Linked DNA regions of Cricetulus griseus. The protein of the gene in region 2 purifies or fractionates together with the protein of the main gene of each other region. This does not show direct contact. Links are inferred from orthologs where the notes say so. Each region holds a gene or a part of one and is shown on either strand. Other genes may lie near its edges.

Evidence for each region.
Region 1: the proteins of Fbl (region 2) and Tgs1 purify together in Homo sapiens (affinity purification with mass spectrometry; 3 studies listed by BioGRID and IntAct, counting the BioPlex papers as one, with this or other methods). This does not show direct contact. The link is inferred for Cricetulus griseus from reciprocal best matches to the Homo sapiens genes FBL and TGS1.
Region 3: the proteins of Fbl (region 2) and Larp7 purify together in Homo sapiens (affinity purification with mass spectrometry; 3 studies listed by BioGRID and IntAct, counting the BioPlex papers as one, with this or other methods). This does not show direct contact. The link is inferred for Cricetulus griseus from reciprocal best matches to the Homo sapiens genes FBL and LARP7.

What each region holds. Positions count from the first base shown.
Region 1 is NC_048595.1:156,506,870-156,510,369, reverse strand, and holds part of Tgs1 (trimethylguanosine synthase), read left to right. Parts: intron 1-2,681; coding exon 2,682-2,810; 3' UTR 2,811-3,500. UniProt on the Homo sapiens protein: Catalyzes the 2 serial methylation steps for the conversion of the 7-monomethylguanosine (m(7)G) caps of snRNAs and snoRNAs to a 2,2,7-trimethylguanosine (m(2,2,7)G) cap structure.
Region 2 is NC_048602.1:7,928,655-7,932,602, forward strand, and holds the start of Fbl (rRNA 2'-O-methyltransferase fibrillarin), read right to left. Parts: upstream 2,459-3,948; 5' UTR 2,322-2,458; coding exon 2,312-2,321; intron 1-2,311.
Region 3 is NW_023276806.1:31,277,390-31,280,889, reverse strand, and holds part of Larp7 (la-related protein 7), read right to left. Parts: coding exon 3,364-3,500; intron 3,281-3,363; coding exon 3,187-3,280; intron 3,110-3,186; coding exon 2,753-3,109; intron 2,673-2,752; coding exon 2,525-2,672; intron 988-2,524; coding exon 836-987; intron 157-835; coding exon 38-156; intron 1-37. UniProt on the Homo sapiens protein: RNA-binding protein that specifically binds distinct small nuclear RNA (snRNAs) and regulates their processing and function.

The DNA.
Region 1 (3,500 bases), on a different chromosome or scaffold from region 2:
CTCATTGTAAAACCAGAACTGATTCATTAAAAACATCTTTTTGTGAAAGGCTCTTTGGAAATCGATGCCTCTCTGAAATTGCTTCTGAAACCCAGAGGCATGGGTTTGGTTCAGAGAGACCACAGTTTGAAATCTTGTTTGGTTCCTAGTCCTTACTGTTTTCCTTCACTTCTTTCCCTTGACAGTCTAGAATTCCAGGCAGCACTAGCTTTGGATTCACCATGCTTTGCAAACAAAGCATGCTTTGGAAATTTCTTTTAAAAAGTAAGCCTATATAGTAGAGATGGAAGCCTCTGAACATCTTAGTCATCTAATGGTAGCTGCATACAGCAGTTTCAGGTACCACTTTGATGTGAAATCCTTGTACATGGACTCTTAACATGAAGAGTCTAGTTACGTTCCAGGCATGAGAATGAGAGCAGGCCTCCTAGTCAGCATGGCATAGTAGCTCCTTGTTCTTTAGTTTTCAAAACTACACAAAACATGTAACCAAGAATCCATAAGAGCAGTTACACTTTTCAGTTCAACTCAAGCACTTGGATCAATTTTATGCTGGTCTTATAACAAGGTGACCCTGGGCAGCATCCCTGGATTTGTATTAAAGTAAACCTGGAGGCTGAAGACACACTCATCTACTAAGAGCACTGACTGCTCTTTTAGGGGACCAGGGTTTGATTCCCAGCACCCTCATGCTCACAACTAGCTGTAACTCCAGTCCCTGCGGATCTGACACCCTCTTCTGGCCTCTACAGTCACTGTCCATATGTGGTACATATATCCAAGCAAAATACCCATATACATAAAAATAGGATAAACCCATAGCCTTCCATCAGGCAATTCCTGGCCCTTCTCTGCTATTACTCCACCCTCCTTGGCTTTTTTAGATGAATAGTCTGTTAGCATCTGTTTTATTTTTATTATCTAGATTCCCATTAGCTTTTATAATTCATTCCATAGGAGGCTGAAAGTCTAGCTAAGTGGTAAATGATATTAGCATATCCAAAGCCCCGGGTTCAATCCTCAGCATCAAAAATAAACTGTATTCCATATGTAGTGCAGGGGATAGGTGGGTGCTGACTCACTGTAGCTTATTTTCATTGGTTTATATGTAGGAGGGTAGATAGGTAGAGAAGAATAAGGATATTTTTGACGTTTTTGTTTTGTTTTTAATGTGTCTGAATGTATGCCATGTGTATGCAATTGGCACACAGGCCAGAAGATGCCATCAGATCCCTTAGAACTGGGGTTACAGATGTTGTGATCTACCCCCAGCATGGGTTCTGGGAACCAAACTCAAGATCAACAAGTGTTCTTAACCTCTGAGCATAGTTTGCCTGCCCCCAGAACTTGGGGCTTCCCTTTGTCTACCACATACCTCCTGTTCTGACTGGCTGGGCCTTTCCACTGCATTCACTATTTCCTTGATTTTTACCAATCTGATAATCTGATTAATGATTAAGATTATATGTTAGAAGGTAGAAATTTCTCGGTTAATAAATCTCTTAAAGGGGTAGGAGGGGGAGTGCAAGATGGAAATCTTTTCTGTATAAGAGGGTTAATCCCAGCACTCAGGAGGTTGAAGCAGGTAGATCTTTGTGAGTTTGAGGCCAGCCTGGTCTTCAGAGTAACTTTCAGGACAGCCAGGGTTTAAAGAAACAAAGAAAAGAACTTAGAGTTCTTAATTTGCTGGTTTGAAATGTTACAAAGACCAGTGCAAGTGTTGCAGAGCAAAGAGCTCCTTGGCAGGTAATTATTCTTATTGCCCAATTGTTTGATTAGCATCCTTAATATTAACTTAATATTAATGGAAAAGGGGGTTGCTTTTATCTCCTCGAGTCAGTAGCTATGTTCTAGTAGACCCCAAAAATCAGTTATACAGATACACAGAGATATGTAAAGTAACACAAAAGAACATCAGGTAGAGGAAGTGAACAGAGATAGAGATCCAGGAAAGAGCTAATTTGAAAAGTACAGGCTCTACTCAAAAAACAGTAAACATTGTTGTGCAATGGAGAGAGTAGCGTGAGCAAAGGGAGTTGGGTATCTTAGGAGTAGGTAGGTGATGATGCTCGTATGTAAAGGGCCTACCACCAAGCCTGATGGCCTAAGTTTAATCCCTGGAACCCACATGGTGACCCATACAAGTTGGCCTCTGGCCTCCACCTACAAAGAAAAAAATTAAAGCTGAGTTTCTTAGGAAAGTGGGTTCTTAGATGTCTGTGCTAAAACTGACATGACGTGCAGGCTTTATCCATTTTCTTTTCCTCTGAATCCTTAGATTATGGCACTGGTGAGATGGCATCTGTAGAACAGCATAGCATAGTGATCTGACTCACATCGAGACAGTCTGAAGCAAGTGTTTCTACAATGAGTACTATATTAATGCATACCTGGCAGGCAGTGGTGAATGAGGTGCTCCTTTATTTAAAGTACTTTCATAAAAAAGACAGTCTTTCTCTTACAGATAGTTTATGTTAGGGGAATAAAAACTTTTGAAAATCATGTTTGTGCTGAGCATGGCAATGAACACCTTTAATCTCAGGAGGCAGAGGCAGAATATCTGAGTTTGATGACAGCCTGGTCAACAAAGTAGACTAGCCAGAGCTACTTAATGATACAATGAAGAAAAAGAAGAAAAAAGATCCTGCAAGTATGTATGACTTCTGTGTTCTTCCTGACAGGTGGCATCCTTGGCTGGTCCTGGAGGGCAAGTGGAAATAGAACAGAACTTTCTTAATAACAAATTAAAGACAATCACAGCATATTTTGGTGACCTGATCAGAAGACCAGCCTCTGAAGCTGAAGTGTGAGGACAGCAAGATCATGTGGAGTTAGAGACATTTGAATGAGAGACGCTTAGAAAGGTCTTCTACAATCTTTGATACTGTATGCAATGTGATATGGGAACCTTTGTGAGTTTTAATGAATACTAATGAAGTGGTTTGGATCTTTAGGTAATGTTAACTGAGCTTGTGTTCTGTACTTTAAAACAATAAGCATCCGGCCAGGAGGTGGCAGGTGCCTGTTATAATCCTAGTACTTCAGAGGTTCAAGGTCATCCTGTGCTGCATAAATTCAAGGCCAGCCTGAGTTACATGAGACCTTGCCTCAAAGAAATAGTCTAGGCATGACACTGTACTTAAATTAAGTATGTCTGTATATATGTGTGTATTTCTTTCTATACTGTAACTGTATTTTGGTTTAACCTCTTTGTGTGTATGTATGTAAAATAATTATTGCGTTTTTTTTTAAAAATGCAAAGAAAAAGAAAAAAATTCTGCCTACACATTTAACCCCTAGTGAAATAATGTTACCAATTTAATGATATAACAAAAAAAGTAAAACTCTCCCATTATCTTACCTATTTTTTATTCAGCTGTCTAAAGATAATCACAGTTAGCAGTGTATTTTACTTTTTTATTACATTTTTATTTCATGTGTGTGCATAGAAGTTAGAGGACAACTTGTAGAAATCTGTTCTCTACTTCTACCGTGTGTGT
Region 2 (3,948 bases):
ACAAAAAAGACTCCATTACTCAAAGAGATGGCATGCCCACAATCTTCCCTCTAGTAGCTTTCCAGCAGAGCGAGGTATCACCTGCCCGCAATCCCACCGCTTGGGGAGGGTGAGTTTGAGGTCAGCCTAGGCTATACAACAAGATCCCAGTTCAAAACACAAACATAAAAACAACAAATGGCCTTGTTTAAAAATGCCCACCAGATTCTACAGCACACGTCTGCTTAAAAGTCTCCCCCAGCGAACTCTTGCTCCCCAGACTGACAGCTGGGAAACCAGCATGGGACTGATCCAGACCCCAGGAACATGGGTTTCAGTGGGAGACCTCAGAAATCTACAGGACCTCCTGTGGTAGTTCAGTACTTATCCCTAGCATACGTGTGGACTTTGGGAGCCCATTCCACATAGAGGGACACTCCCTGAGCCAAGACACACTGGGGTGGGCCTAGGCCCTATCCCAAAGGATATGATAGACTCTGATGACACCCTAAGGAAGGCCTCACCATCCAGGGGGAGCAGAAAGGATATGTAATAGATAGGGTTTTAGTGGGGGGGGGGTGGCAGGGGAGGAGGGAGGGAGAAGGGAAACTGGGATTGTCATATAAAACAATCTTGTTTCTAATTCAAATTAAAAAAAACTGAAAAAAAAATCTCCCCCAGCTGGTAATGGTGGCACAGGTCTTTAATCCCAGCACTGGGGGGAGAAGAAGCAAGAGGATCTCTGAGAGTTGGAGGCCAGCCTGGTCTACAAAGCAAATTCCAGGACATCGAGGGTGGTTACACAGAGAAACCCCATCTAACTCAAAGAACCAAAAAACAACAACAAAAAAAAGCAAAAAACAAACAAAAACAACAAAAGGATTCCTCCAAAGCTGGTTCTGTCATCCAAGACAAACTGTCACCACACAACTTCTTCCATCATTTGGTAGAGAAAGGTTGGAGGGAAAAGTCCTCCTGGGGCGGGGTGGGGGGAATCACAGAGCACAGGATAGCCGTAGAACACACAGCAATCCCTCCACCCTCCTTCGCTTCGCCAGACTTCCCCAACGGGGGGGGGTGGGGGGGGGATCCCAGAAATTCTATTCAACATGCTTGGGAGGGGAAGATGGGTCACTATACCCTGCACTGGCTCTCATCCGTCTACAGGAACATGTGGGCGCACGCCAGGCAAAAACCTGCCATTAGCGAAAACTGATCCTTGGGCACCGGTGCAAAGCTCATGCTATCATTACTGTAGCACACGCTGGTGTCAAACTCCTCACCCACCTACCCCAGCTTCCCGAGTACCGGGACTGACAAGCATGGGCTGCCACAGCCCGGAGTCACACATTACCAAAACAAAACAAAAAGCCACTTAAGCATTAAGAATCTGAGAAAGAAGCCGGGCGTTGGTGGTGCGCACAACTTTAATCTCAGCACTCGGGAGGCAGAGGCAGGAGGACCTCTGTGCGTTCGAGACCAGCCTGGTCTACAAGAGCTAGTTCCAGGACAGCCTCCAAAGCCACAGGGAAACCCAATCTCGGAAAAAAACCAAATAAAAAAAAATCAGAGAAAGAAAAGAGACGCTCCTACTGTCAAAACCAGAACGCGCACCAGCGTCCACCGTGCGGTGGATTCATCCACCAGAAAAAGGGCGGGAAATAAAGGAAACATTTTTGTCCCGCCGGGCGGCGGTGGCGCCCGCCTTAAATCCCAGCAATCGGGGGAGGCAGAGGCACTGGCGGATCTCTGAGTTCGAGGCCAGCCTGGTCTCCAGAGTGAGTTCCAAGGCCAGCCAGCGTCTCCTAGCGAGACGCAGTCTCAAAAAACTCAGACCAACACCAACCGCTCTCACTTCTGATCGCCCTGCCGGCTAAGGCCAGGCTTGCAAAGCGTCTCGCGGCGCCGAGCAGGGGCTCCCGACCCCCCGATCGTCAGCTCCTCCGGGGCTAGGACCCCGCCCCTCCCGGAAGCGCAGCGGGCGAGCGAGGGAGAGAGAGGGCGAGCCGCGCACGCGATCGCCGCGCAGCACCGCCCCGGAGGTCCTCACTCGTCCCCCCTGGGGCAGCGGTGACAGCGGGAAGAGGGAAGCACGCGATCCGGAGCCGTCCCACCTACGATCCAAGCCGGGTGCCCCTCTCTCCCCCGCCCCGCCCCGGAGCCGGGGTCAGGAGGGCCGGGATGCAGCGGCGAGGCTGCAGGCCGGTCTGTGCGGTCACACTCCCCGGCTCCCGAGCAGCCCCCGGCCGCCCTCCCTCCCTCCCTCCGTCCGTCCGTCCCGCCGCGGTGCCCGGAGCCCCGCTCCAGCCCGTGCCGCCGCCGCCGCCGCTACCTGGCTTCATCGCTGCGTCCCTCCCGGCCGCGCGGCTCCCGCAATCAGCAGCGTCCCCGGACTCCACGCGTCTCCGGCGCTCGCACGTGGAGAGGAGCGCATGCGCGGGGCGACGCGCGGCGCGTGACGGCAGCGCGTGGCCCCGCCCCCGCTCCCCTCTCCCGGAAGTGCCGTGCCTTGGGCGGGAATTCTGCAATCTCTGCGGGCTTCCCTCGCCCGCCCCGCCGCGGCGGCTTTTTCGCTCTAAGAGTCAGGGGTTGGTTATACTCGAACCGTGGTTTATTTTATTTTTTTTTCTCGAAGGTTTGCTTATTATTTTTTTTTTACACTTTAGCCCCGGAGGCGTTCCGGCGGCACGCCGCGTTGTCTGTGCACCACGCGCGTGCTGTGCAGAAGAGGGAGGGCGGGAGGGCAGCGGATCCCCCCTGGAGCTGCAGTTGCAGGCGGGGGTGGGACCCGATCCTGCGTCTTCTGCAAGAGCAGCGTGTGCTCGTTTTGCAGCGAGGCCCGGGCCCGCCCGGAACTTGAAGATCTCTGGGTCTCCAGGCTGCGCATATGCGTTTCCAACCCCCTCTCCCCCCCCCCATTTGCTCCTCACTACCCCTGCTCCCTACCCCTGGCCTGTTTCTGGAAATCTTCAGTCACCCTAATGTCGCTGCAGCTGCCTCTAAATTCACTGCCCGGCTGTCAGCGTCCTGGCTACTGCTGCTTGGCCGGTGGTTCTGCCGTCTGTCCCTCTGCGCGCCATGGATCCCGCCCCCTCTATGATAAAGATCCCATCGGTGGAGCAAAGGAGTTTGCACAAGGCCCGGGGTTAGTGTTGCACCACCAGGGGGCAGCACGGGAGCCACCTGGTCTCCAGGAAAATAGTCCCAAAGAGCCACATCAGGGCTACTGAAAAGACCCCATTTGCACCAACACCAGGCTTTTTGTTGCCTTATCAGGCAAAGGGTTTACCCTTGGGCCTGGGTGAAATGGCCGCTGAGGTTTACAGAGGCTTCTGATGGCAAAAAAAAAGCCGTGTAAATAGGCAACAGTCAGGGCTAGAATAGTGCCTGCTCCAGCAGGAGTTGTCTTTCAGAATTAAGTGGTTGTAGACGTGTAGCTTCCAGGAGGTGTCTGTGGAGCATCCAGGAGCTTCCAGGTTGCTATGACAACAGGCCAGGTGGATGCCAAGAGGGGGCTGCTTGGATGGTAGTCATGACAGCCAAATGCCAGGGAAGGGCTGGATGGATGGTTGTCAGGGTCACCCTAGCCTCCAACATACTCTCTTTCCTTTTTAAAGACAAAATAAGCCTTAAAGGGAATTCTCTTTTTTTTGTTGTTGTTGTTTGTTTTGTTTTTCGAGACAGGGTTTCTCTATATAGCTTTGGAGCCAGTCCTGGCACTCGCTCCGGAGACCAGGCTGGCCTCGAACTCCCAGAGATCTGCCTGCCTCTGCCTCCTGAGTGCTGGGATTAAAGGCGTGCACCACCAACGCCCGACTTTTCAAGGGGATTCTTACCATAAAATCCTATTACAGACACTGACAGTGCTTTAACACTGTCATACAGAGGCCAGAGGAGAATGTTAGATGTCCTGCTCTGCCACTCTCTGCCTTATTCTCTTGATATAGGGTCTGAACCTGAGCTAGGCTG
Region 3 (3,500 bases), on a different chromosome or scaffold from region 2:
TCTTGTTTTGTTTTTACACAGGCATCATAAACATTACCCTGACTTGTTTCCTGCCAGGTAGAGGCTCTGTGCTCATGATCTTCACAATAACTCCATTCACGAATTGTGGGCCTTGGTTGTTAACCTTCTCCTGGGTGCAGCATTCTGGATGGCTGACTGTGAAAAGGAAAAGGCTACAGATAAAAATTTTCTCACTCCTGACCTTTAACAGAGCAGCACTAGCTACTCTACAACAGCAGGAGTGATTTCTCAGACTTTAAAGAACTTGTGTAATGTTAATATTAATGCATCAAACTGCTCATTTGGAAATTAATAGGAAATAAAATGCATTATTGCCCTGAACCAAAGAATAAAATTCAAATAAAGATAGATGTCAATAGAAATATAAGGATATTCAAAATATACTATTCAAATGTAATAATTTGGGGAATAGGGAGGAGGGACTGGGAAAGGAGAATGGAGGGGAGGCTATGGCTGGGATGTAAAATAAATAAATGAACTACAATAAATAAAAATATTTATAACTAAAAAGCCTTTACTAATGTTACAATCAATAATAATTCTCTAATATGTCCCTGTTCTGGGTTCATCTTCTACTAAAACTGCAGTCTTTATTACTATGCCCAGTCACTCATGAGTAACTTGCTGGTAATGGAGAGTAAGCAGGCTCTTAAAAAGCCTACTGTTTAATATGAACACTTCAATTTTTTTCTTTCTTTAAATTTTTTTTTTTCTGGTAATGGTTCAGTTCAAAACTGGGGAATCCAGTCTATCACTCCTACACCCAGGGTCCACAGTGTAGTATAACACTAAATGCTATGAAAGTGAGCTTCACCTTTTCCATTCTTCACTCCAGACTTGTTGGGCACTGTACAGTCGGTTTCCATTTCTGACTCCAATTTTATTTGAGATATTGTTTTTTTTAGAGAAGCCATACTGGCTTTTTGTAGTGCCAAATACTCTTTTTTCAAATCCATCCATTCAGTCCTGTAAAACAAAAAATTGAACTACTGAAATAGTGACCAGATGACTCATTGAGAAATCTGAAGGTGAATGAAATAGACGTTCATAAAAATTCCCATTTCTTTTAAAAAGGTGCACTCAATTAGTTTTTAGGCTGTAAATCTATCTAGCAAACAAACAAATGAAGTTCCTTTTCATAAATATTCAGGTAAAATGCTTTAATTTCCCAGTTAAGTTCCTGATATGTTTCTAAAATTTTTAATTGTAAAAGCAAAATAAGGCAACTTTGGGGTAAAGTGAGAAACTAAAATTCAAAGATTTGTTAAATTGCTTCCAATTTGAGAGATAACATTCCTTAGGATTTACTTGAATCAAAAGAATTTCTAAGAAGAAAAAAACACCCCATGGTAGCAATTTATTTATTTACATACATTTACCATGTAGATGTCTCTTCAAACAGCCAGGGCTCCTCCAGAGAGAAGCACAATGCATCTCCTGGCTCAGTGGGAGTGCTCATTGTTACCCTAATCTGTGCCATCAAACAAGCAGATAGGAGTTTTTTTTTTTTTTTTTTTTTTTTAAAGAGAAGGGTATCTTGTGGTAATGGTTTTAGCAGTTAACATTGACATCTGTTTACTTCAAAAAAAAAAAAAAAAAAAAATCCAGACCTACCCAGGATCCCCAGGATCTACTTTCCCTGAGAGCTGATGCTGATACATTAAAATAACAAAGGCTCTTGTAATGATTCTCTGAGATAAAGACGCCAAAAGGAATTCAGGAGTTAGGAGTAGTATAAATACAAGTGGTCTAAAGTCACTGTGTTTTACCCTCCAAGCAGAGAAGGAGATTCTTTGGGATCCAGTTCACAAAGGTAATTTGTCATTTAATTTCCTCCTAGGTTACCCTAGCTTTACAAAGAAGTTGCCTTGTGGGTGGGTTCCCTTCAACTTTAACATGGGAGTGCTTTCTGTCTCACTGTAAAAAGAGTAAGTGCTTCCAAGTTTTAGTAGAAGTGAATTCAATGTACACCTTTAGCATTGATAAGCTAACCCGTTGGGAGTCCCTTCTGCTTTAACATGGGGATACCTGCTGTGTTAAATTAAAGTAAGTGCTTCCATGTTTCAGTGGAGGTGTCTCAACCCATTCAGCATTTCCTTAATTTAAAAATGTTACATTTTAAGGACTAGAACTTAGTAAATGTAAAGACTGGGCTCCCCATTACTTAAACGTGGATGTACTTGCTTTGGGATTAAGAAAGTAAGTGCTCCCATGTTTTGGTGATGGTAAGCTTTCCTTTTCCATTCTCAAGCCTTTAAGAGGACTTAACTGATTGCTGCTTAAGGAGCCTCCTTTACTTTAACATGGAGGCACTTGCTGTGACCTTATAAAAATAAGTGCTTTCATGTTTGAGTGTGGTGGCTCCTACTTATCATCTTTATATTGCCAAAGGACCGTAGGCCGTCACTGTTGCTAATATGCAACTCTGTTAAATAGAAATTGGAATTGCACTTTAGCAATGGTGATGGAGTTCTGTCAACTGCTACTGAAAATTGGTACTTACTTGGACAGCACTCTCAACGGTATAACCTCTTCTCCCATTTTATGTCTCTCCTTGTGTTTTTTCTTATGCTTTCTTTTTACTTTTAGGAGTGAGTCACCTTTTCTATCTCCTGTCTCCTTCTCCTCCTCTGTAGAGCAGAATTCTAAGTCTAGAAAAAAGATTTGCCATAAGACAAGTTGTGTGCTTTGCGAAGTACCTAAAATGTTTGCACTGTTTTCAACATGGTACCTCTGCTTTCCTTGGAGATTTCAGAAGCGGCTTGGCTAATGCCATCTTTCTGCGCCCTCTTCTTGGCTTTTGGCCTGGGGGTCTGGCAGTCTTCATCCTCAGCACTGCTTCTTTCCCTTTTCCCTGCTCTAACTTCAGGTAAGACAGACGGCTCAGTCTTCTCCCGTTTTTTCTTCTTCTTTGCAGGTTGCTTTGGAGCTTCAGGAGTTTCTGCTTCAGAGCCCTCAGAGGCAGTCCTTGGTCTCTTGCCTTTACACACACCCATGCCGCTTGTGTCCTCCATATTTAACTCTTTGGCCTGCATACTGTCTTCCTTCTTTATTCTCCCTTTTTTCTTTTTCTTCTTCTTTTTCTCTTCTGTAACAGCAATGTTCAAATAATTTTATATTCTACCAATTCAATATTTACCTCCTAAGAATTAGGTGGGTACTCACCAGCTACTCTTAAGGAAGGGATGGGTTTGTTTTTCACTGTCTTAGGAAATATGCCAGGTTTTCTTGGTGCCTCTTCTGGTGGGTTGTTAAGAAACTGAAATGAAAATTGGAAAAATCATGGCAAACTTATTCATACTAATCTTTTTCTTTTTAATTTTCAGGGTTCTACAGACGTACCTCAATGGCTTTTGCTGCTTGTTCTTTTGTTTCAAACTCCACAAAGGCAAATCCCTTAGGATCCCCAGTAGACTTGTAATGTGGAATACTTATATAAACCACGTTGCCACATTTCCCAAATACTCTTTCAATCCAGC